Linked DNA regions of Mus musculus: regions 2, 3, 4 and 5 are each reported to be linked to region 1. The links are microRNA targets in miRTarBase. Many come from high-throughput screens and were not tested one by one. Region 1 holds a microRNA gene; each other region holds the end of a gene's coding sequence.
The links. Region 1 holds the annotated microRNA mmu-miR-122-5p (UGGAGUGUGACAAUGGUGUUUG, at 2,911-2,932, shown strand). A microRNA usually pairs through its seed, bases 2 to 8, with sites in the 3' UTR of a target mRNA and lowers its output. Matches are read on the target gene's strand: a 7mer-m8 pairs with bases 2 to 8, a 7mer-A1 pairs with bases 2 to 7 and ends in A, and an 8mer does both.

Region 1 (4,723 bases):
GCTTTGTTGATGTTGTTTGTTTTTTTTGGGAGGGTGGGGGTCGGGGGATGTTCATAGAAAATAACAGATGCTACCATTTTTCCATCCAGCATGTGCACTTTCTGTTGGATATTAGCTAGTACAAGTGAGCTTCCCAGTGTTCAGTCTGAAAATTCTAAAGCCCTTTTAAGTCTGAAGAAAGGAAACAGACAATGTGGCTTGGACCCTAGAACGAATGGCTTTGGCTTTTCTTCTCGGTGATACATTCATTAGTAAACAACATTTGGAAGAACAGGAAAATATTCTGCTGACAGAATTTGATCACTTGGTCAAAGAAAACACAGAAAAACAAAACAAAACAAATGTTTCAGTAGTGTCTAAAAATTGTTCAAAGGGCCCTAATAAATGCGAATTTATTTCTTGATATAATAGCATAAAGTTAACTATGCTGCATAGTACTTCAGTAATTATTTGCTTAAAAAAAATTTTTTTTGACCTGAAGTCTCTCTCTGTCAGCAAGACTGTTTCATGGTGGCAAATACATCTGTTTGAGTCAGATAGGTTCCAGCTTTCATATTTACGAAAAGTGTTTACAAGGAGGATTTATTAAATGGGGTTATCCAGAAGGAGGAGGGAGGACTTTGAAATTTTTAAAATTCTCATTATTTTTCTCATTTCCAAAGCACTGTGAAAAAAATTGTGAAAATTAATAAATTCAATGAAACAGAGGTAAAAGTCCAACAGCAGCTCCCTTTCCACCTGGTCGAGCGCTACAGTAACATGAACGCTGTACAGTTCTCCCTGAAAAGGGTCCGAATCATATGCACTGTTTTGAAAACCACTCCTCTGTTGGAAATGAAATCTTACTTTGTTTCCAAGTCAACAACAGCCAACTTTTTACCGAGTCGATGATTGCAAGGTGAGGACCGTGGTCCAGGTGAGTGTCGACCATTTCCCAAAGCATGAGCCATGTGCAACCCTTTATTTTAAATAATGTCACTATGAATTAGCTCTTATTTACTCATTTAGTTAGTTAGTTAGTTAGTTTACCTTTTCCTTGAGATGTGTGCTTGATTCATGACCTGCCCGAAAGGCAGAGAGGTTAGGGGAGGGTTGCGTGTAATATGTTGGTTGGTTCCCTCCTGTTCTTCCTCCTCTGTCTTTTGCACATCAAGCACTGAGAGGTCCTCAGCCCCTACAGCACTAATGAATGCCTCACCGCTCCTGGTCGGCCTTACTACACGTGGGAAGGGGGTTCTAGAGACCTGCTGAGATGGTCAGAGCATCCCCGGGAGGGGGTGAGGGATGAAAAAGAGGTGGGATTTCAGTCCTAGGTCCTCCAGGCAGAGAAATAAATCAGCATAGCTGGTCTCTTGGAAGGAGTGGTGGGGAAAGACAGGTCATCACCTACACACACACACACACACACACACACACACACACACACACACACACACACACACTCTCGAGGTCCCCCATCATTGCATGGCCAGCACAAAGGTTTTAGGGTGGCGCTGGGTGTCAGCAGGAGCTTCCTGGTTTCACAGAGGAGTGCTTGTCTAACACTAGGCTGAGTGACACTCTTTTCCTGCAGTCTGCTGGGGCCACAGAGGAACAAAGGAAGCCAACTATTATATTTTATTTTTTAATTTTTTTTAGTGGACAACAATCCTGTCAGCACCATAGAAAAGGAAAGGGGCGAAGAGGAGCCAAAGTGGGAGGGAGGTCGGAGGTCACAGAATGCTGTTCCTGCGGCATCTGTCTTAAAAGGGTGTCTAAAAGGTGTCTTAAGGTGGTCTCTATGGGAATACAGGATAGAAGAATGCGGGAGGACTCGTTTCGCTTGTTACAGTTTAAGCAAATCTCTAGCCAAATGTTAACAACTCAGCTATTCTGGGGATGGGGGTGAGTCAGGAAACTGGCACCCAATCTTCCCCCTTCTCAACATTTGGGGAAAATAAAGGATTAGGTAAAACTCTTTTCGTTCCTCTCATTCTCCACCGTGAGCAGAGGTTCACAGAACCGGTGAAACCGTATTTAACTGGAGACAAGTCAATCCAGAAGGCATTTGCTCACACAGCAACCTTCCCACTAGAAAGTGAACCTTCCCGCTAGAAAAAAAAAGTGCTAACTGTTTTTATTTCATTCTTTCTTAGTTGGACCCCTCACCTGCTGCCTGCAGTTCTTCTAAAGAATGGCTGTGCAGAATACGACTTAAAGTTTGAGCAAAGTGGGGTGTCTCTAAATTCAAAGATTCCACAGAGAGGAGGTCCTAGCCCATAAAGAATAATCACAAGCTGGGAGTAGGGGGTGTGTGCCTTTCATCCTAATACCCAAGAGGCAGGCATAGGTGGATCTCTGTGATTTTGAGTCCAGTTGGGTCGATATAGTGAGTTCAAGGCCAGCCAGGGCTACATACTAAGAGACCATTGTCTCAAAAGATAGAAAAAGAAAAGAAAAGAAGAGAAGAGAAAAGGAAAGGAAGGGAAGGGAAGGAAAAGGAAAGGAAAGGAAAGGAAAGGAAAGGAAAGGAAAGGAAAGGAAAGGAAAGGAAAGGAAAGGAAAGGAAAGGAAGTCATAATTTTCTTGAACCAAAGAAGTGATCACATTTGCTAGTGATGGATTGGAAACCATGACGAGGTGAGAGTGGGTGGGATCTATCACCTAATGGAGTTATTTCCTTGTATGATGTGGTTTGTAAGAAGTGTCTGCCTCTTCCTGGAATTCAAGCCTTTTAGGAAACAGATGTAAACAAATTTCCATCCTGGTAAAGGCCTTTGTGAGCCCTCCTTGTTATTCAAGATCCCGGGGCTCTTCCCTATGCTCCAGTTTCAGCGTTTGGAACCACTGAGGAGTCTGTGACAGACAACGGAGGAATGTGAAGGGAAGGTTAATACCCTTGTGCCTGACAGACTTTCCTTAGCAGAGCTGTGGAGTGTGACAATGGTGTTTGTGTCCAAACCATCAAACGCCATTATCACACTAAATAGCTACTGCTAGGCAATCCGTCCACTCCACGCGTGACTTGACGTCTGTTCTCTCCGAGCAAGAAGTTCTGTCTTGTGCTAGAGTTCTCCATTGTGTGTAATGTATGAATAAAATCTGGTCCTCTTGTGCTTATAACTGTACATCTGACTGACGCCTTCCCCTCGTGTGCTATTGTGAAATGAATAATGCTATAAAGGAAAAGACCAGTAAAATCCAACCTCTCCTATGGGACCCTCCCAACACTGACTACCCTGACACCCAATTTATTTCCAGCACTAGGCCCACTCTCGATTTTGCTCTGAACGCTAGCGAGGCATTATTTCCATTCACTGTTGACACTGCCTCTGTGGAGTTAGCCCTGAATCCAGCAGGTGGATGGCACAGTCCCTAAGACCCAACTTCAGATGTCCATTGAATGTCCTAAGTTGCTTTCCTTGTGTTTCTGACTCACCAGCTATAAACTGGGGTTTCCACACCTGTGTTCTCAGGTCCAATTCTCTTGCTTGAGTGGGTCTAAAAATTCAGGAAAACGTGTTGGCCAGCTTATTCCAAAGGATAATTTAAAGGCAGAGTGGAGATATGTTCTCCGGGCACTGCTGCATATTTTTGGCTACCTAGAAGCTCTACAAAGCTGTCCTTCATAGATTTTATGGGTACCCCTTGGCATGGGTTTGATTCAGTAGACATGAAAATGTGCTGGCGACCCCACAAGCCTCATGGACAGATAAGGAGGTGATGTACAAAGTGAAGAATCAAACTTGAGTCAGCAGCATCTTGGCAGATATTGGTTCAAAAACTTCCAGAGTCTGATCTTAATGGTTGAATTTTCTTATATAGTTAAGCATAGCAAAACTTTGGGGGAAAGGACACCACATGACAATTATCACCACAACGCTTTAGGCATAGCTACATAGAGTCCCCCTAGCTGAGTAGCAAAGCACCTGTGACCTTTACAGTGAGAATGAATTCTATTGGCTGATAAGCAGAGCTCAAATCTAGAGCCCAATGAGAAAGGATTGGTTTAAGTGTAAGAATAGTCTCTAATGGTGGGGGATGCAAAGTTCTCATCACTGAGAGATAACGCTCAGCATCAGGACCTAAACAATGACCAGGCTATTGGGGGACTCGTGTGGAGGCTAACTCCTAGTGGAATAGCAAAGGGTCACCAGCAGGTTGCTTGACCATTTCCAGTCTGGCTTTCCAGACGTCATTCATTTCCCTCTGTTGGAAAAAAAAAAAAAAAAAACAGGCTTGCGGGACTGATCCAGTGTCTCCAATACTTCCTCTAAGCATGCTTCTTACAGAAATGTAGTGGGACAAAAGGGACAATCGAGGTCTAATGATTAGGGGGCGTGCAAGCAATGTTATCAATTCAGATGTTTCGTTCTTTGTAGTCTTAGGGGAGGAACCCCATAGAATGAGGAGAAATGATTATCAGACAAGGTAGATGGGAATTATGAGCCAGGAACCATGGATGAAAATATATGTGCATATACATACATACATACATACATACATACATACATACACATGTATACACACACATACACAAAATTAAATCATAATGATGGTAAATTTCCTTATTTTCCCTCATTCATTAAAATTAAAAAAAAAAAAGTCTCCCAGAGTACCCAGCACAAGGCTAGTCATCATTCCATTGAGTTGATGTTAGGAAAATGTAGATGCAAAAACAACTAAAACTAAGTGTCTTAGTTAGACTCCTATTGCTGTGATAAACACCATCACCAAAAGCAAC
Region 2 (4,723 bases), not on the chromosome of region 1:
CTCTTGAGTGGAGGCCCTCTGCAATGTAGAGGTGGCAACAGGTGTACAGGCAGATTGATAGGATTGCTTGTCCCCTGTAATCTGCTGAGGCCTTTGAAGCCTGGGTCTCTGTCATCAAGTTAATGGTGAGGAGGCTCCTAGTCAGGAGGCCTTGCCTCATTACCCTGTCCCTCCCACAGAATGGCATTGTACCCATTGTGGAGCCTGAAATTCTCCCTGATGGGGACCATGACTTGAAGCGCTGCCAGTATGTTACTGAGAAGGTAGGTTGCCCATCTGCTTGGTTAGGATAATGTGGTGGGCTGGGCCCCGCTGAGGTAATCCCTGTTTTCCACCTTTCCCTGCTGTGTTCCAGGTCCTGGCGGCTGTCTACAAGGCTCTGAGCGACCACCATGTCTATCTGGAAGGCACATTGCTGAAGCCCAACATGGTCACCCCTGGCCATGCTTGCACCCAGAAATTTTCCAATGAGGAGATTGCCATGGCAACGGTCACAGCACTTCGTCGCACAGTGCCCCCTGCTGTCACTGGTGAGGCCCACTCCCTCATCTTGGCCTGGTGAGGTGGATGCACCATCACATTTGACTTTGTCCAGGGTGACGCCTCATGGCTTTTCCTGCTCCGCATCTCTAATGCAGGTCCCTTTCCTTCTGTGCTTGTTCTCCAGGGGTCACTTTCCTGTCTGGAGGGCAGAGTGAGGAAGAGGCATCCATCAACCTCAATGCTATCAACAAGTGCCCCCTGCTGAAGCCATGGGCCTTGACTTTCTCCTATGGTCGAGCCCTGCAGGCCTCTGCTCTAAAGGCCTGGGGTGGGAAGAAGGAGAACCTGAAGGCAGCCCAGGAGGAGTACATCAAGCGCGCCCTGGTAAGGCAGGCAGGCAGGCGTGGAAGTGTGAACAGGTGCCTGGGCGGGGTGGGGAGGGACTCAAGAAGAGAATTCCTCTGATTCCTCTTCCCTTTTAGGCCAACAGCCTCGCTTGTCAAGGAAAGTATACCCCAAGTGGCCAGTCTGGAGCCGCAGCCAGTGAATCTCTCTTCATCTCTAACCATGCCTACTAACCAGAGCTGAACTAAGGCTGCTCCATCAACACTCCAGGCCCCTGCCTACCCACTTGCTATTGAAGAGGGGTCTTCAGGCTCTTTCCCATCACTCTTGCTGCTGCCCTCGTGTGCGGTGTTGTCTGTGAATGCTAAATCTGCCATCCCTTCCAGCCCACTGCCAATAAACAACTATTTAAGGGGGAGTCTGTTGTTCATGTCTTGTAGGGTATAGGGGAGGGCCTGAGGAAAGAGCCTTACTTTGGGTTTCTTCTTCTTGGACAGTAAAAGGAAGGGTTTTTTTGACCAGAGCTTTGAGAAAGGCATAGTATTATGGGATGTTCTTTGCCTACATCTAATTGAAGGTAACTTTTACCTAATTAATATTCAGTTTAAGCCAACCAAGGGCTTAATGAATACTTGGCAAGGATTGTATCAGGGCTAACACATTTATGCGTTTTTGGGGACTATGGAGCCTTTTGGAGAACGCAGAATCCTCTCCTGCAGTGACATAGGTATACAGCTCAACTGCAGAACTCTTGGGTTCCAGGTTGAGAATGGAGCCTCAGAGCTGCTGATGTTCCCTGGTGATAGAATAAGAAGCACATCAAACCATGGGCCATCTGTATTCTTGCCACATTATATTGAGTGTAGTCGGTGTGCTAGTGCACACCTTTAATCCCAGCACTCAGGAGGCAGAGGCAGGCAGGAGGCCAACCTGGAACTCACTACAAAGTGAGTTCCAGGACAGCCAGGGCTATACAGAGAAACCCTGTCTTGAAAAAAAAAAATTCTGCCTAAATGAATGGATACAGTGTATCTGCCTTTGGAGGCCAAAAGGAGTGTATCAAGTGCTAGCTTCTGGCAAGATAAGAAACCTTAAGGAGTGAGGGCTTCGGACTATAACTCAGTAGCAGAGTCCTTGCATGGTTACTCATGGTTGTGAGCCACCATGTGGGTGCTAAACTGCTGAGTTCTCTCTCCAGCCCCATCATACCTCTAGTAATTTATAGTGCTAGAGACTCTAAGTATAACTGGGGACGACTTAGATCTTAAGCATTTCCTGTTTCCTGCCTTCTCTGCCCTTCCTGTGCTTTCTGTTTTCCTTCCCAAGCATCTTTTTCTTTGACACTTTCGTTTTCAGTGATCTGCGTAGAATTGTCTTACTAGGAGTATCAAAGCATAGTCTCCACTGTCCTAATATTCCCATGTATTGGCCAATAGTCAAAGCTATGCGCAGGCTGTGGATAGAGCCCAGTGGCTGAGTACTCAAAGCTCTGGTTCCTTCCCCAGTGCTGCAAGGGAAAACTCAAATCCCTATGCTTCCCCAAACTTCAGCCTCCCATTTTACTGCTCATCACGTACTTGTAGCCTTGCTCTCTAGAATTCTGTAGCCCACACTGGCCTTGAACTCTCAAGATCTGCTTTCCAAGTACTGGGATGAAAGGCATGTGCTATTCTCCTAGCTTCTATGAGGCGATCCTTTTTATTTTATATACATTGGTATTTTAACTGAAATGTGTGTATGTGTGAGTGTTGGATCCTCTGGAACAGTTGTGAGCAGCCATGTGGGTGCTGGGAATTGAACCCAGGTGGTTGGCAGGCTGGAAGAGCAGTCAGTGTTAACCACTGAGCCATCTCCCCACCCTCTATAAGAAAATCTTAAGGCACATAAAAATTGTTCAAAATTGAGAGGGACAATAGAATACTGAAAAAGAGGGAGTATGGTGTGCAGAAGATCAATAACCTGCTCTGCCTACAGCAAAAGGCAAAGAGAAAGGAGGCAGACTGCATGCACTGCGAATTTGGGGAGCTCCAGGGGCTGGCTTAGTGTTTGTGTTGCTTTGAGTTTCAGCAAATGAAAGGTGAAAGCCAGACCTGAAAACCACTTTTTTCTGGATTAATTTTTGTTTTTTGCTTTTTGAGGCAGGGTTTCTCTGTATAGCCCTGGCTGTCCTGGAACTCACTTTGTAGACCAGGCTGGCCTCGAACTCCCAAATCTGCCTGCCTCTGCCTCCTGAGTGCTGGGATTAAAGGCGTGCACCACCAAGTACAGCTATGGATTCATATTTGAGCTTTGATTGAAACTCCAGACTTTCAGCATTCAACTGTGATCAAGCTAGCCTCCAAACCCATTGCCACCTTCAAGGAATATGTTCAGGCAATAAGAAGCATTGTTGGGTGTGGTTGATTAATATCTGGGCTGAGATTCGCTGTGAAATCTGGGCTATTCTAAGCTACAGTGCAACCCTGTCAAGAAAAAAAGTGAACTATTTTGGAAAAGCTTGGTGTCCAGAGAGTGGACACTTAAAAAATTTTTTTTCAATTAGATTTAAGCCTCCGTGTTTTCTCTCATCACCATATGGGTTCTGGGGATCCAAATCAGGTCAGTAGGTTTGGTGACAAGTTCTTTTATCAGATATGCTATCTTCGTGAGGTGACCGCCCCCCGCCAAGTGTTTGCTCTGTAGCTTTGACAGCCTAGTATCCACGATCAGCCTTAGCCTCCTGAGTTCTGGGATTACAAATAGGCCACTATGTCTGGCCCAGGTTCGGAGCTCCTCCATGGGACCGTGGCAAGAAATGTGGACCAGGATAGGCTCTTTCATTGAACAATTATTTATGCATATCTGCAATACTTGGCCTTATTCTAAACACCGGAGAGGCAATGATGAACAAGGCAGTTTTATCCGTGAGATCTGTAATAGAAGCAGCCCAGGGAATAATGTAATGTGAGATGAGAAGCCTACCGCGGCTCGCCTCACCAGGCATACACAAGTACACCAGGCGCACTGCTGTATTTGCCTCCAACCAACTTCGCCCGCCCACTTCCGGCTACTTCTCTTCTCCTTCCCGGTGCCTCAGCGAGGCGTGGCTCGTGTGCGTCACTTCCGGCGCGCGAGAGCACTGGTTTCCCTTTGCTTCCGCGGCGAGGCCGGAAGTAGAAGCGGCGGTGGCGGAGGCCCAAAGCGGAGGGAAGTGGGGAGTCGAAGAGACTCAGCCGGAGTCTCCGCGGCGGTAATTGTCCGAGGCCCCTCTAGGCCACCGTCCTTAGCGCGGGCCCGCGGGGTTCGACGGGAGTTGGCGGGGTGCGGCCAGGGCAGCGGGACGCGGAGGGTCCTGGGCCGCCGTGAGGGGAGGGGGGGGCGGTCCCAGAATCGAGTCCCCCCTCCCGCACGGACCCTCTGATTGGCGGGCTCGCCTTCCCTTTTCCCAGGAGACCCCTGTGCGGTCCGGAGGGGGCGGCGGCCCCGACTCTGACCCGCGCCGGGGGGGTGGGCCATGGCGGAGATCAGCGACCTGGACCGGCAGATCGAGCAGCTACGGCGCTGCGAGCTGATCAAAGAGAGCGAAGTCAAGGCCCTGTGCGCCAAGGCCAGGTGAGCCCGCGGAAGGGACTCCAGCCGGTCGCCCCGGGGGTCTCGGCCGGGCAAACTCCGCCGAGAACTTAGGGCTTGCCCAAGCCCGGAAACGTCGCCAGAGAGAGGTCCGGAGAGCCACTTCTCCCCAGGAACCACGGGGCGGCTGTGTATGGGTTTCTAGTGGAGTAAGAGCGAGTGGCAGGAAGTTCTAGGGAACTCAGGGAAAATGGCTTGCCCTGCTGGGGTGAAAGTTTCTTGGAGGGGCTGAGTTCTCGGACAGATTCTTAAAGAGTGAGGAGATGGTTCAAGGCAAGAAAACAAA
Region 3 (4,723 bases), not on the chromosome of region 1:
TCTGTGTCCTGGCCTGCCACAGGCGTTTTGTTTCTCTAAGTGTATCCAATCAATTCAAGTTCTCTCCTTGTGCTTCGCTCTCTTGACTTCATCATTCATTATCCCCTCAGGCTTACTTCCCTTCATCTTCTAGTCTTAACTCATCCTTTCAATAGACATCTATCATGTTCTTATTGTGGGCTGGGCACTGTGCTTGAGAGCGAGGAATAGACAAAACACAGAACCCTTTTTTACTAGAATTAAGCTTAATTCTAGTAGAAGGGGTAACAACTTTTAAAAAATCAATTAGCATTCTAGTTCAAAGTGTTAAGGGAAAGCAGAAAGCAGAAAGGGGGAACAAGAAGTACTATAGGCAGGTACTGGCTTGGAGGAGGACCATATACATGGAATGGCAAGAGTAGAAAACATTAAGGTGACACTGGAGAGAAGATCTGAAGGAGACAATGAGGTTAGCTAGTTAAGTACCTAACAGACATCTCAGAGAACAGTCCAAAGCAAATACCGAAAGACAAAAATATTCCCTTTATCTTTGGGAAACAAAAGATGGGTGTGGATGGAGTCCCATAGGTAAGTGGCAGAAAAAATGAGCAGAAAGGGCTTGGTGGAGGACAGGTATGATCGATTCAGTTTTGTCCAAAGTGTTAGACAGCTAATTAGAATTAGGCAGCTAAGCAGAGACGCTATTAGACATACAAATCTGGAAACTGAGACAGAGTTCTGGGAAAGCTGGAAGTAAAAAAATTCAGAGTCATCTGCACACAGATGGTGTTAAGAACACAAGACCAGATCATACCAGCAAGGGATGAGCAGAAAAGGGGTTAAAAACAAAAACCAGTCACACACCTGAAGTGCTTCCCACAGCAGCTTCTGTTCCCTCCTCTGGGTCCCTGCTCACCCCAGGAATGTGCTCACAACACTGATAGGACAGTATGATTCCTTTTAGTGTTGTCTTTATCAGGTCAGGATTTTCTAAGCAGAGAGATTCACTGTTGGGCCTATACATGTTCTTTATGTAGGGAGAGATACAGGCTAGCACAGCATGGTTTTAAATCCTGTCACAGGCATGATTTCCTGTCTTTTATACATCCTAGGACCCACAGACAAATGGTAGCATTCGTGGGTTATACTGAAGCAGACAAGTAAATCTACTTCTGGACCCAAGTTACCTCAAAGGATAGAGGGAGACAAGACCTTAGCGCATCTGTAGCAACACAGGTTTTAGAAGACCAGGTCTAACCAATTCTTTCCCTCTTTTCTTCTTCCATTTCAGAGAAGCTGCTGCTGGCCTGGACTGAGGTGGGGCTGCCCCTCCAAGATGTGTCTGTGGCTGCATGCAACTTCTGTCATCGTCCTGTGCACTTTGAACTTATGAGCGAGTGGGAGCGATCCTACTTTGGGAACATGGGACCCCAATATGTTACCACCTATGCTTAAGGAGCCAGCTGCCTTGGATGCCAGCTCCACCTGCACTCCCCCTGGGGCTGGGCTTCCTCCTGCTCTCTGCTTTCCTGTGTGCTTCTGGCTGACTTGATTCTGAAAATAAAGAGCAACTTGAAACATTCATAGCCCTTTGGTAGACAGAAGAGCAGACAATTTGTATTATACTCACTCACTCAGACAAGTCTAGCCTCACAGGGAAACCACAGATTACTTGTTGGTCTAATCACTCTATTTTACTAATAGGAAAAGTCAGATTTAGGAAGAGGAAAGAAATGCCCCTAATCTGTACTGGAAGCTGTACAAAGATCTAAACTCCTTAGCTAACCTGAAGTGGCTTTCCCAATAACTTAGACAAAAATACAGGGCTCTACTTTTCAATGGGAGACCTGGAAAGGTGAGCCCCAGGTAGCCTCTGAGGTCAGAAGATGGAATAGGTCTTAACTAAAGAATGGCTGTTCTTTGGGAATAATGGCTTCCCCATGCCAAGAAATCTTCCAGAATAAGGAATGGATTCTTTCTTGATCCACTATCCTCTTTTTCTCCAATAGCATCTTATAGGATTTCCTATCCTTCTGCAAGGTGAAGGAAGAAGCTTGGCTACAGTATACAAGGTCTTCACAGCAAGGCTCCCAACAAAGCCTCCCAACTCTACTGGCCAAGGTGGCCATCTTCCCTGAGACTTATGGTAACTCAAACCCTGGACCTCTGAAGGCCGAAACACCAATTCTTTCTCTCTGGTGATTCATGTGTAACAGCTGTAGAACACACTACTTAGAAAACTCTTTTAAGAATACACACCCTCACACTACACCCACCTTCTTCACTGATCCAACCTCAGAGTAGCAAATGATCCCCAGAGCTCACCTTTCCTGGGGAGCACAACTCCTCCCTCCACCATGTCGCCTTGATAGTATCTCACTGGGTTACATGAGGCCAAGCAAGCCTCGAAATGAGAGAGCCTCACACTCAACTTTTTAGAGTGCATCTAAAATATCCACTCAACATGGTCTACTGAAACAAAGACGTGACCTTTATTTATGAACAAAATGTTATTTATGCCCTAACAAGGGTTGAAGGGGATTAAATTAGTTCCCTGCTCCTCCATGTGCAAAGAGGAAGAAACAGAGATGTGAAAGGGGAGAGGCACTAGGGGGAGAAGGGAAGGAGTGGAGGGAAAGCAGAGAACAAAAAGAAGCCTTCATAGGCAGGGACCTGGCATCTGACCCCGTGCACGGGGTGAACACGAAGACATCCCTATGCCTCAGTCTGTTCAGCTGGGCCTGCTCCAGAGGAAGAAGTTACAGCGGGAAGAGGGGTCACTGGGAGGACCTCGGGGTCTAGCACACATGTAGAACTGGCGACCAAAGTTGGGTCCTGTTTTTTTCACAGTACGCATCACACATGGCTCCCTGTGGCCTCCACAGAGGGGCATGGGTGAGGGCCCACTCAGCATAGACTTCCAGAAGGCAGTCCTTTCTCCCTTCTCATCTTTGGACTCTGGAACCTTGTTCTTCTCTTCTAGCATTGTGGCTGTTGCCACCTCTTCTGCAGTCTTTGGGGTTGTAAGAGGGCCCACCAGAGGCAGGGTAGGCAGCTCCACACCAGAAGTTTGGGAAAGGCTGGAGGAAGGCTGGAAGTAACTCATCAGGTTTTTCTGTTTTCTTTTGGGGCCACCTTGACTTTTCCGAAGCCTGGTTGAATGCATGAAGGCTTTTCTTGGCTGTCTCTGTGCCTGGATTTGATGGCTGGGCTGCAGGACTTGCTGTTCCCGCACAGGTTCTTGCTCAAGAGGAACTAGGAAGCGAAGAATCTTGAGCTGGGTACCTGCAAACTCGGGGAGGAAGCGGGTACACAGAGCTGGGCACTGTTTTGCTGGCACACAGGATACATTTAAGACAGCTCCCACAGGGCAGTGGTCAGAGCCCATCACTTCAGGGAGTAAGAAGGAGGCCTGGAAGGTATCTATGACCAAGGCCCTATCTCCCAGTACATAGTCAAGTCTAGAGCCATAGTTGAGATGGCGTGCACCACTGACCACTGACCAGCAGGTGAAAGCCCTCTGCTGTTTTGGATGCAAGTAGCGGTAGCTATCCATGAAGAGCCCTATGTGGGGTCCAGCCTCATCCCCTGGGTTACTGAGCAAGCCATCCATCCACTTACGCCCTGGGTCCTCTTCAAAGCATTCCTGGGAAAGGGAAAGGGAATGAAAAGCCAAAACTAGATTCTTAAAACAGGACGAAATTTAGACTAACTGCTTCATTTTACAAATAAGAATATTTGGTTGTCCTAAAGAAGATTCCTGTTCAAGGTCATATAGCCTGGACCAGGAAAAACTAGGCTTTGGTTTCTTTTCTTTCTTTCTTCCTTCCTTCCTTCCTTCCTTCCTTCCTTCCTTCCTTCCTTCCTTCCTCCCTCCCTGAATTTGCTTTTATGTATGGGTCTTTTGCCTTCATTGTCTGTGTACCATATACATGCAGTGCCCGTGGGGGCCAGAATAGGTCATCAGTTTCTTAGGAACTAGTGTTTTGAACTGCCATGAGAAGGCTGGGAATCAAACCCAGGTCCTCTGCAAGAGGGCTAAGCATTTTTCATAGCTGAACCATCTCTCCTTCTCCCACAACATGAGCTTTTAAATAAATGATGCTACAAATCAAAGCCTGGAATTAAAGAGAAAGCTCAGTGCTTAAAACATGTACTCCTCTTGCAGAGCACCTGAGTTAGACTCCACCACTCATACAGATACCTCAGAACCACTTGTAACTCCAGTTCCAGGGAATCCAATGCCTCCTGGCTTCTATGGGAACCTGCACTTATGTGTATCCCCGCCCCAGATACATGGGATAAAAAAAAATAACTCTTTAAAAAAATTTCTGTTTGTCCTTCTGTCTATCCCATACTGTGGTTACCTTGCCAAATGTGAAGGTCTATTGTTTAGTTAATCAAAGTAATTCCCAGAACTAATTTTCAAAAGACTGCCAAACAAACCCAACCATGATGGTATACCTATAAGTTCACAACTCAGGAGGCTAAGGTAGGAAAACTGGCATCAATTTGAGGCCACTGTGGACTACAATGTGTGTCAATGTCCTCACTGACATTCCCCCTTCACTTGGGAGCTTAGGGGATTCAAGCATCCACATCTGTGCCTTTGTCTCTGATCCCTGATCCAGCCACTCCATACATTTATCCAGCTTACCCACTTATAAACCCATTGATTTAGTGTAAAAACATAGTCACAGGACACCTGTTTTGTGACAGAATTGATGCTAGGGGCAAAGTAGAT
Region 4 (4,723 bases), not on the chromosome of region 1:
AAGAAGCAGGCTTGGTTCACTAAGGTCAAACATTTGATGTTTTGAGACTGCTTATTAAAAAGTGGGATTCTGGAGCCTAAAGAGTTGGCTTACTGGTTAAGAGCACTGGCTGTTCTTCCAAAGGACCTGGGTTCAATTCCCAGCATCCACTTAGCAGCTCACATGTTACTCCAATTCCAGGGGATCTCACACATACACACACACACACACACACACACACACACACACACACACACAGAGAGAGAGAGAGAGAGAGAGAGAGAGAGAGAGAGGGAGGCAGAACACCAATATATATATAATTAATAAATCTTTTTTTAAGTGGAATTCTGAGATTAGAGAGATAGCTCAGAGGTTAAGAGCACTGGCTGCTTGTCCAGAATCAAACCCAGGTTCCTAGTCCCCACATGATACCTCACAACCACCTGCTACTCTAGTCCCAGGGGAGCCAATGCCCTTTTCTGGCCTTCTTGGGCGCTGTACACATATAATGTACAGACACCCATGCAAGCAGAACACTTATACACATTTTTTTTAAAGAAAGAAAGAAAACAAATACAAAATTCCTTAATTCCTCAGTTGCAGCCCTTGTGACCTTTGGGTCCGGTTAGCTCTGCATTCTTGTTAAGCCATCATCTTCCCCTCCTACGTGTTCTGTTAGTTTTCTCCCAGTTCCCGCGACTGTTGATCAATCTGGCCCGTGCTTTAGAAGCACCTGGAAAGATCTTATAATGGCACAAACCTGAGCTCTACAAAAGCAAGAGTCAAGAATTTCTTTAAAGGCCCCACTCCCTAACAGTGATTTGGATTGCATCAGTACATGGCCATTAATCGCCATTAAGATTTCATTGGAAGCAGGATACTGCAGAGCAGGCCCACACTTGGGAAGGAGCAAGGAGGAGAAGGCGTTCCAAGGCTGCACATCCACACTGTCTAGCAAGACTATGGTAGCCTGAGTTCCATGAAATCCTGTCTCGAAACAAAACAGACTTGGAGAACGGGGTGTGACTATTTGGGGACCATGTAAAGGAGGATTGATAGTGCTGTATAAGGTGCTTGCCAGGCTGCTAAGTAGCCTCTCTCAACCTGGATCCCACATTGGGATGTACTGGAGAGCTTTTAAAAGGTGCTGAGAGCTGGGTCTTGCTCTCCGTGGTTCTAATTTAAGTAGTCTAGGTGAAGCCTGGGTGCCAGAATTATACCACTACTGGGATTCCAGGAGAGGCTATAGGGAGGCACATTGACCTTCTGCTCCCCTTTTTCTCTAGAGACTTCTGGGAAGGAGCCCACCTGGAACTTCTGGAAGTACCTAGTGGACCCAGACGGAAAGGTGGTGGGAGCATGGGACCCCACTGTGCCAGTGGCGGAGATCAAGCCCCGTATTACAGAGCAGGTGATGAAACTCATCCTTCGGAAACGAGAAGACTTGTGACCGGGTCCCTCTGGAACTCCCATCCCTCCGCAAACTCAAGTGGTGCTTCACCGGCAGAGAGCTAAAGCTTCTCTTCCCTTCACTCCTCAGAGGACAAATCCTAAGACTTGGATGATTTGAATCCAAGAGCAACGGACAGCAACTGCTTGCTGGCCAGTGAGAGTTCTTAACAGCACATCACCAGCCAGCGGGCCTCTAGCCAAAGGAAACATGGCAAGGCTATGAAGAAAACATGTAGATGGATATGAGGCAATCCTCTACCTACCCATGCCAAGTCTTACCTCACAGGGAGGCTGTGAAGATTAGCATCTAATACCCGTGAACACGCCTGGGGCAGTGCTAGTCGAAGGGGAAGCACTCCGCACGGTTTTCTGCGTGTAAACAAGCATTATTTGTGATAATAAAACCTGAGTTTGACATAAATGTCTAGCCCGTGGAAACCTGGGCCAAATGTGTTTGCCATTCTTGTTATTGTTTTCTTACTTACAGAAGACACATGTTCTTAGGCAGTGTGGTAGGGGGAAAGACTCAGAGTTCGAACACTTGCAAGACTCTATCTATTCCCAGAGAGGCAAACAGAAAGGCACATGGAGAGCACACTAATAAAAACACAAATCATAAAATAGAAGTAAGTACTGTCGGGAATTTGGTGCGGATATTGAAGGGGCAGGCAGATTTCTGAGTTCAAGGCCAGCCTGGTCTACAGAGTGAGTTCCAGGACAGCCAGGGCTACACAGAGAAACCCTGTCTCGACAAAACAAACAAACAAACAAACAAACAAAAAAGGCCCACAAAGCTATACCTGAACACTTGCTTTTCAGCTAGTGGTGGTGTTTTGATTGAGGGTGGGTGGGTTATGGAACCTTTTATATACAGGCCAGATATATGGCTATCAGAGCAGGATTTCAGGATGCTGACTGGACCTCAGGCTCTTCTTTCAGATGGCTTGATAGTATGACCTCCGCTGTCACACACAGACTGCTTAGACAGTGTGACCCAGCCACCACATCCACCATGGCCAGGAGCCAGTCCCACCACTGTGCCTTCTTGGTTATGATGCACTGACAGTCCCTGAAACTGAGCCATGAGAAAGCTTTTCTCCCTTAAGCTGCATTGGCCAGATAATTTATCAGAGCCAGGAGAAAAATAAACAATGTCGACATGCATTTGCAGGCTACAGGTGCCCAGTAAGATTCCAGAAATGGTGGCTCCTTTGGGTGCTATGTTCTCAGGGAAGGCCTCTGGGGCCCTTGCCATCCCAACTGGGTCTCCTAATGAAGGACCAGGCCTTACTAGCTTGTCAAGTTTCACCTAGAGTTTTCAGGATTTTTTTTAAGACAGCGTCTCTCTAGATAGCCCTGGCTATCCTAGAATTTGTTATGTAGACCAAACTAGCCTCAAACTCACCCTATCTTCCTCCCAAGTGCTGAATAAAAGGTGTGTGCTACCACACTCACCTCTAAGAACTTTATTATTAATTTTTATTGATTATTTGAGAAGCTCACATCATGAACCTCAATCGCTCACACCTCCTAGCCTTCCCATGCCCAACCACCCTCCTTTTAACGCCCCCCTCCCTCCCACATACACATACAAGGAAAAGCAAGGGAAAAGAAAACCAAGTTTGTTTTGTGTTGTCCACATACTCACTAGAGCATGGTCAAATTCCTAGTAGCCAGCCCCCAAAGGAAAGATGAGTCTTTCTTCACCTGCATCCAGGCCAGAAGTCACCAACTGTGAAGAGCCATGCAGTGGGGTCTTAACCCTGACAGGGGAGAAATTTGAACCATTTAATCCACAAGTTGTAGCACATTGCAATGCATACAGAACATAAAATCTCTCATGGTCGAGGCCAGCCTGGTCTACAAAGTGAGTTCCAGGACAGCCAGGGCTATACAGAAAAACCCTGTCTCAAAAAAAAAAAAAAAAAAGATCTCTCATGAAGTCTGGGGCCTACTGATTAAGCCAGACTGGTTGGTGAGAGACCCTGGGGATTCTCTTTTCTCTGCCTTCCAGGATTCACGCCTGACTTTATTTATATATATATATATATACTGGGGACCAAACTCAAGTTTTTGTGTACTTTATCAACTGAGCTACCTCCCTAGCCTCATTTAGTTCCATTTAGAAATATGATCTCCTCATATAGCCCCAGCTGGCCTTGAACTTACAACCCTCTACCTCATTGTCCCTAGTGATAACCTCCTGAGCACCATAGAAAATACCTGTAGCTTTGATAAACTAAGTATTTTAAATTTTTGTTGTTGCCACCTTTGGACTGTTAAGAGTGATGGTTAAGATCATCCTTTTGTCTTTTGGTCTTTTGAGGAGGCCTGTGTTGGGGTGTGATATGCTGAAGGCTGTATGCTGTGGTGACAAGTCAGAGGAAGGATGGAGCAGACCTTGTCTTGGTAGCCTCACGGTTGGACACAAGTGAATCCTGGGGAGTGAAAGGTTATTCCTACTGTTGGATTCTGTTGCTTGTGCTGTTTTGCCTTTTCAAAGCAGAGGCAGTTTGCATTAAGGAAGGTTTGTGCGTATGGATTTGAATCCAGAGTTGGGACATCTTGGGGAGTGGTCCTCAGCTAGAGCCTCTGTGGACAGCACCTGGAGCCTTAAGCTCAGCATCTTGGCTCATCTTGGTCACCCTAGGCCGGAAGCCCCCTCTACACATTGGCACCCCCCAAATTCCTCATAGGCTCAAGATACCACTTGGTCCCCAAAGCCTCTAAATGCCATTTCTGGTGCACCTCAGGATGCAGGATTTTTTTTTTTAATTGGATGGAGAGGGCACACAAAACACAGCGCATGTGTGGAGAATAGAGAGCAGCCTGAAGGAATTAGCTCTCTCCTTGCCCCATGTGGGCTCCTGGGATAGAACTCAAGTCATCAGGTTTGGCAGCTATTGCCTTTACCCACTGAACCATGTTATCTACTAGTCCTTTTTAGTTCTTCCTTGTGACTTAGTGATTTATGTCTGTGTCCTTTCCTGTCAGGGATTACATGCCAATTAGAAATAGACATTGTCCCCTCGAGTATAGACAGATCTTTTGTATACTGTATTTCCTAGTCATTTTTGTTTGTGTATGAAAGTGAATATTTGGAACATGATCCTAGGAGTAGAAGCTTGAGGCAAATATATAGGAGAGGGCCTGAGGTGGTATTTCATTGGCTAAAAGCACTTACAATGGAAGCCTGGGGGCCTGAGTTCAAGCCTCGGAACCCACAGAAAAGGAAGAAGGAGAAAATCAACACTAACATCCATGGCAGACCCCAATAATAAATAATTTTTTA
Region 5 (4,723 bases), not on the chromosome of region 1:
TCAGATAACCCAAACATCAGATATTTATTTATACTATAATTCATAATAGCAGCAAAATTACAATTATGAAAGTAGCAATAAAATAACTTTATGGTTGGGGGTCACCATACCACGAGGAACTGTATTAAAGGTTGCAGCATTCGGAAGGTGAGAGACATTGGGCTAGAGTGTAGAGAGGCTGGGAAAAGCTTGGGGAGGGAGGCTCCTCTGATCCCTGCTGGGTAAGGTTTGAGGGGTGCCCGTGCTCCTGCATGTTAACTTCCTAAGTTATCTGTGCTCTGTAAGAAAGCCCAATAGACTCACTGGCTCCCCAGAGTGAACTTTTGCAGAACCGTGCCTTGGTTTGTCTGTCAGTGAAACCTTAGGGGAAAGGGGTAACCTGCACTTGGTCTCTCCTGGGAAGGAATTTTAGAAGCCCAGGCTTTCCCACCACACTCATACGTGGGCCCATTGAACATCTCACTGGCCCTCCACCTTATTTTTTAAGACTGAGCCTGAAAGTCACCATTTCTGCTACACTGGTTGACCAGTAAGCCCCAGAGATCTGCCTGTCTCAGTCCGCCAGACGGAAGGAAGTTACAGACATGAATCACTGTGTGCAACCTTTAAGTGGGTGCGGGGGACCCAAGCTCAGATCCTCACGAGACAAACACTTTACCCACTGACTATCTCCCCAGCTTTTCTCATCAAAGTTTTAGTTAGATTTGCATCACCCTATTACTAATAATGCTGGTAGTCTTTTCTTGTGTTCATTTGAGCTACTCAGTTTTAAACATTCCATGGGGCAAAGGGCTAAATCCCGAGTCTCAGCAAGGAAGAGTTTTATATGACTGATGCCATAAAACAATGACATTAGCCAATTGGTTATGAAGTTTTTCTTTGAGAGTCCCACCTCTGAGGAATAAAGTTGCTCTTTAAGAATGAGCGATTTTTGTTCTAACATGTTGGCAAGGCTGGAGATGCAGTTCGGTTGGCACCGTACTTGTCTAGCATGCACGAAGCCTGGAGTTCGGTCCCCAGTACTGAATAAATTGCATGGTGGTGCAGGCCAATCCCAAAACTTGGAAAATGGAAGCAGTAGCAAGTTCAGGCCCAGCTCAGCCTACATAAGACGCTGTAAAAAACAAAACTAAACAAATGTCATTAAAGTGCCCACAGTATCTATAAGTTAAGGTACAGGAGTAAATACAGTACACACACAGATACACACAGACGCACACAGAGGCACACACAGACACACGCACACACAGACACAGAGAGAGAGAGAGACAGAGATAGAGACAGAGACAGAGAGACACACACACACAGAAACGTCCCCATTGGAATAGATTATTTCCTAGATGAGCTAAAGGTTGATTCAGAAAATATAAAGACTGTGCTCTGGGAATGGTCCGAGTTGCTAGAGAGGTGTCAAAGAGGAGTTGAGAACTGCAGAGGAGCCAGGCACTGAGAGCCTGCAGGAGAGGGGCGCCAGGCACCAAGTGTGGAATCACTCTCCTTGTTTGGTTAGAAGCAGTGCCTATGTAGAACACCCCAAATAGCACACCTTCTGACCTTAGTTTTATCCTCCACAAGGTCGGTGGCTTTGGGCTTGTTTCCCTTTCCCAACACTTTGAAGGTCTTTGGCTTCACGTGAGAAAAGAGCAGAGCTTTCGTAGTGCCATCTGTCGCCGCAATCCCCTGCCTCTGCCTGCTCCACAATCACAGCCCCTTGTCACTCTCTTTCCTCAGGAATGCGCTGGCTGGCTAAGAGTTACATCTTCAGATGCAAACGGTGTCTGTTCACTGTCTGACTCTGCTACTTATTAGCTGTGTGTCTGTGGGACAGATGCTCAATCTTTCTGTACCACACCTTCCTTACAGTAGAAATGAGATATACAGTGCTTAGACAGTATACACAGGCCCAGGTTCATCCCCAATGCACAGAAACCCCCCAGCACCACCAACATAAAGATAAGGTGTGTGTGTGTGTGTGTGTGTGTGTGTGTTTGGTGCTGGAGATTGGTTCTAATGCTTTGATTCAATCAGGAATCTGCATGTCCAAATGCTAAAGGTCCTTGTCCCCAGGTGGTTTTTGATCAATTAATAAAGATGCCAACAGCCAATGATTGGGTATGGGGTGGGAGAGCCTTGTTGCGCAGGTGAGGACACAGAGAGGAACAGGAGAGAACCACCTCACTCAGGGAAAGAAGATGGGATGCAGGAGCAGCAGGAGATAAAGCCAACCAGCCGTGTGGCCACTGGCCACTTCCCCGATTGGGCCTGAGATAGCAGGGGAAGGTTTAGGAGTGTCCAGCCTTTGACATAGTCAAGGCATTTTTTTTTCAATTCATTTAACTTTTTTTTTCTTTTTTTTTTTGGCATTTTAAAAATAAGCTAATGTGTGTGTCTTTCATTTGAGGACCCAAAGATAGTTCCTGGGTGGATGCAAGCATGCGATCTGGGAGCACAAAGTGGTGAAGCAAAAAAACTTGATATATTTTAAATTTTTTACATGTATGTGTGTTTGTTCAGCATGAATTTATGTGCAGTATGTGCACACAAATGCCAGAGGAGGCCTGAAGGTATCAGGTTCCCTGGAACTATAATTGCAAGCCATTGTTAGTATTGTGGGCGCTGGGAACAGAACCTGAATCCTCTGTCAGAAATCCAAAAGCCATAGAATCCAGTGAAGAATTACACACTCCTCCACCCACTTCAACCCCAGCGCTTGAGGAGTAGAGACAGTTGGACAGCAATGCAAGGCCAGCCTGGACTACATGAGGCTCCCCCGAAAATAAAAAACAAATGTAATAATACTCATGACTCCTTCCTATGAACCAGTTTTTTTTCTCTCCAACAACCTGTAGACTCCAAGAGGGAGGAGACAATAGCTGGTAACTGCAAGGCCTCTTTCAGTGGGGTGAACACACAGCCTCAACTCCATGCCACATCTGCAAAGGGATTTAAAAGAGGCAACAGAGGACAGGATGGAGAACTAATCGCTTTAATAACAGATTAGGAAGGGATGGAAATGCCCGTTTCTGAGTTGGTGCCAGTCTCCAAAAGCTGACTTCCTCTGCCAGACAATGCCCACTTCGTTTCTGAACCAAAAGCTTTTCCTAATTAGCTTCTCCTCTTTTGACTTTCTCAAAGAGAATCATGTTTTTGCCTTTACGATATCTCAGTCCTTTAATGTTTCACTGGTCATTAGCACTCTCACAATCTCTAGGCTTGTAGGAGTGGTATCAGGTGTATGGAGAGTGGAATTTCATTACAAGTGGGAAATCACTAACTGGGAAATCCATGGTGAATAGCCCACACCAAGGTCTGGAGTGCAAAACCCTGGCCCAGAATCTTTATTCTAGGGTCATTTCAGCCCTGGACTGCAACCTCATCTGATTGAGTAAGTGTTGTCTCCTGTCCCCGCTGTTTCCTTTGGCACATCTTTGTGGTTTCTCACACCAACCTCTATCCTCAAATCGTTTCCAAACCAGTCATGGGTTGCTGGCCTACTTACTGAAGCAAAGCCACAGAACAAAGAGGGCCGAAAGAAGCGGGACTAGGCAGATGGCAGGAGAGAGGGGAGGCCCCGCATCTGAGGGAAAGAGATGTAAGTTCTCTAAATCCGTCAAGAAGATTCGGGCATCGTCCAGAGCTGTCTGAGCTGCCACAGTAAAGTTGGGGTCACCGGAGACTGAAACATCAAAGACGCAGGATTGGAAGTAGGCATCTTCAACCGGAAGCCCTTCCTTACACAGCCTTCTGGCAGTATCTATGGCTATAGCCCCACGGCGGTTGCGCTCTGAGCGAGAGAGTCGCTGGCTCGGAGGGCATCCCCCAACACACAGCTGTAGGTCCTGCTCTGCGGAGAAGGCCCGCGCCACATCCTCTGCTACCCTGATGGAGAAGGAGAGCTGCCCAGCTGTCTGTCGAATGATGATAGTTGTTCCAATGTAGGCAGCTCGAATCTCCACGTGACTCCCAAGGTTAGCAGTTTGAATGGACAAACTCGAGCCCCCAGGTCGGTCGCCCCCATTGATAGAACCATCTTCAAAGGCTGCAGGAAGATTGTCCACCTCAGCCTGGTAGACTTTCTGGTCAATGCATTCCTGCATGTTTTTAAATATGATAGTGATCTATGAGGACAAGAGAGAAAATACTTCATTAGGGCCCAAAGCATCCTCACGCCAATCAAGCTGCATAGAGAGTCAGGGATCCGATCCCAGCAGAAATGCGAGTTTCTTCCGGGTCCTCAGTCCTTGATCCTATCCCCTACTGTGTTCCATTAATAGTGCCTGACCCCCACTCAACCTCCTAATATCTCTCTCCCTATGCCTCTCTCTATCTGCCTCTCTCCCTCTCCCTCCCTCTCTCTCTCTCCTTTTTGTCTCAGTCTCAGCAACTCCCAAGTTACTTGCTTTGAAAGAAATTCCTGAATTACATTTACAAGAGCAAATGTTTGATGGAAGGAAGCCATTCAGGATGGAAGGGAATGTTTGGGAAAGACAAGAACAGGGAGCTGGGTGGCTGAATAGTGGGAAGAAGAAGGAGTGGTATGGCGGACAGACCGTGAGAGGGCTCAAGAAATTGTGTTGGGATGAAAATCGAATCTCTGACCTTCCGGATGGTGGTAGCGTTGGCTCCCGACGAAACCGGGGAGCTGGTGGCCTGGACAAAGAGGAAGTCGTTATCTAGCAAGGGCCAAGCTCCTTGGACACGGCATGTGTGAAATTGGTTGTGG

Region 2: the mRNA of Aldoa is a reported target of mmu-miR-122-5p. Seed matches in the 3' UTR shown: 8mer at 1,090-1,097.
Region 3: miRTarBase lists Alas2 as a target of mmu-miR-122-5p. The part of its 3' UTR that is shown has no 7-base or 8-base seed match.
Region 4: miRTarBase lists Gpx7 as a target of mmu-miR-122-5p. The part of its 3' UTR that is shown has no 7-base or 8-base seed match.
Region 5: the mRNA of Hjv is a reported target of mmu-miR-122-5p. Seed matches in the 3' UTR shown: 7mer-A1 at 3,311-3,317.

Annotation. Positions count from the first base shown.
Region 1 is chr18:65,245,956-65,250,678 of GRCm38, forward strand. Mir122 (microRNA 122) reads left to right here and starts at 2,906; the gene lies at 2,906-2,971. Mir122b (microRNA mir-122b) reads right to left here and starts at 2,966; the gene lies at 2,908-2,966.
Region 2 is chr7:126,791,757-126,796,479 of GRCm38, reverse strand. Aldoa (aldolase A, fructose-bisphosphate) reads left to right here. Exons shown (of 9, transcript NM_007438.4): 6 at 180-263; 7 at 356-530; 8 at 668-867; 9 at 966-1,246. The coding sequence ends at 1,061. Ppp4c (protein phosphatase 4, catalytic subunit) reads left to right here and starts at 3,933. Exons shown (of 9, transcript NM_019674.4): 1 at 3,933-4,057; 2 at 4,257-4,419. The coding sequence starts at 4,322.
Region 3 is chrX:150,569,058-150,573,780 of GRCm38, forward strand. Alas2 (aminolevulinic acid synthase 2, erythroid) reads left to right here. Exons shown (of 11, transcript NM_009653.3): 11 at 1,271-1,565. The coding sequence ends at 1,434. Apex2 (apurinic/apyrimidinic endonuclease 2) reads right to left here. Exons shown (of 6, transcript NM_029943.2): 6 at 2,450-3,625. The coding sequence ends at 2,711. Among named protein-coding and RNA genes, the nearest start is that of Apex2, 17 kb to the right of the region's middle.
Region 4 is chr4:108,397,540-108,402,262 of GRCm38, reverse strand. It overlaps Gpx7 (glutathione peroxidase 7), which reads left to right. Exons shown (of 3, transcript NM_024198.3): 3 at 1,266-2,046. The coding sequence ends at 1,429. It overlaps Gm32297 (a long non-coding RNA gene), which reads right to left. Exons shown (of 6, transcript XR_003955247.1): 2 at 3,080-3,194. Among named protein-coding and RNA genes, the nearest start is that of Gpx7, 6.8 kb to the left of the region's middle.
Region 5 is chr3:96,527,459-96,532,181 of GRCm38, reverse strand. Hjv (hemojuvelin BMP co-receptor) reads right to left here. Exons shown (of 4, transcript NM_027126.4): 3 at 4,600-4,723; 4 at 2,966-4,118. The coding sequence ends at 3,492. Among named protein-coding and RNA genes, the nearest start is that of Hjv, 4.6 kb to the right of the region's middle.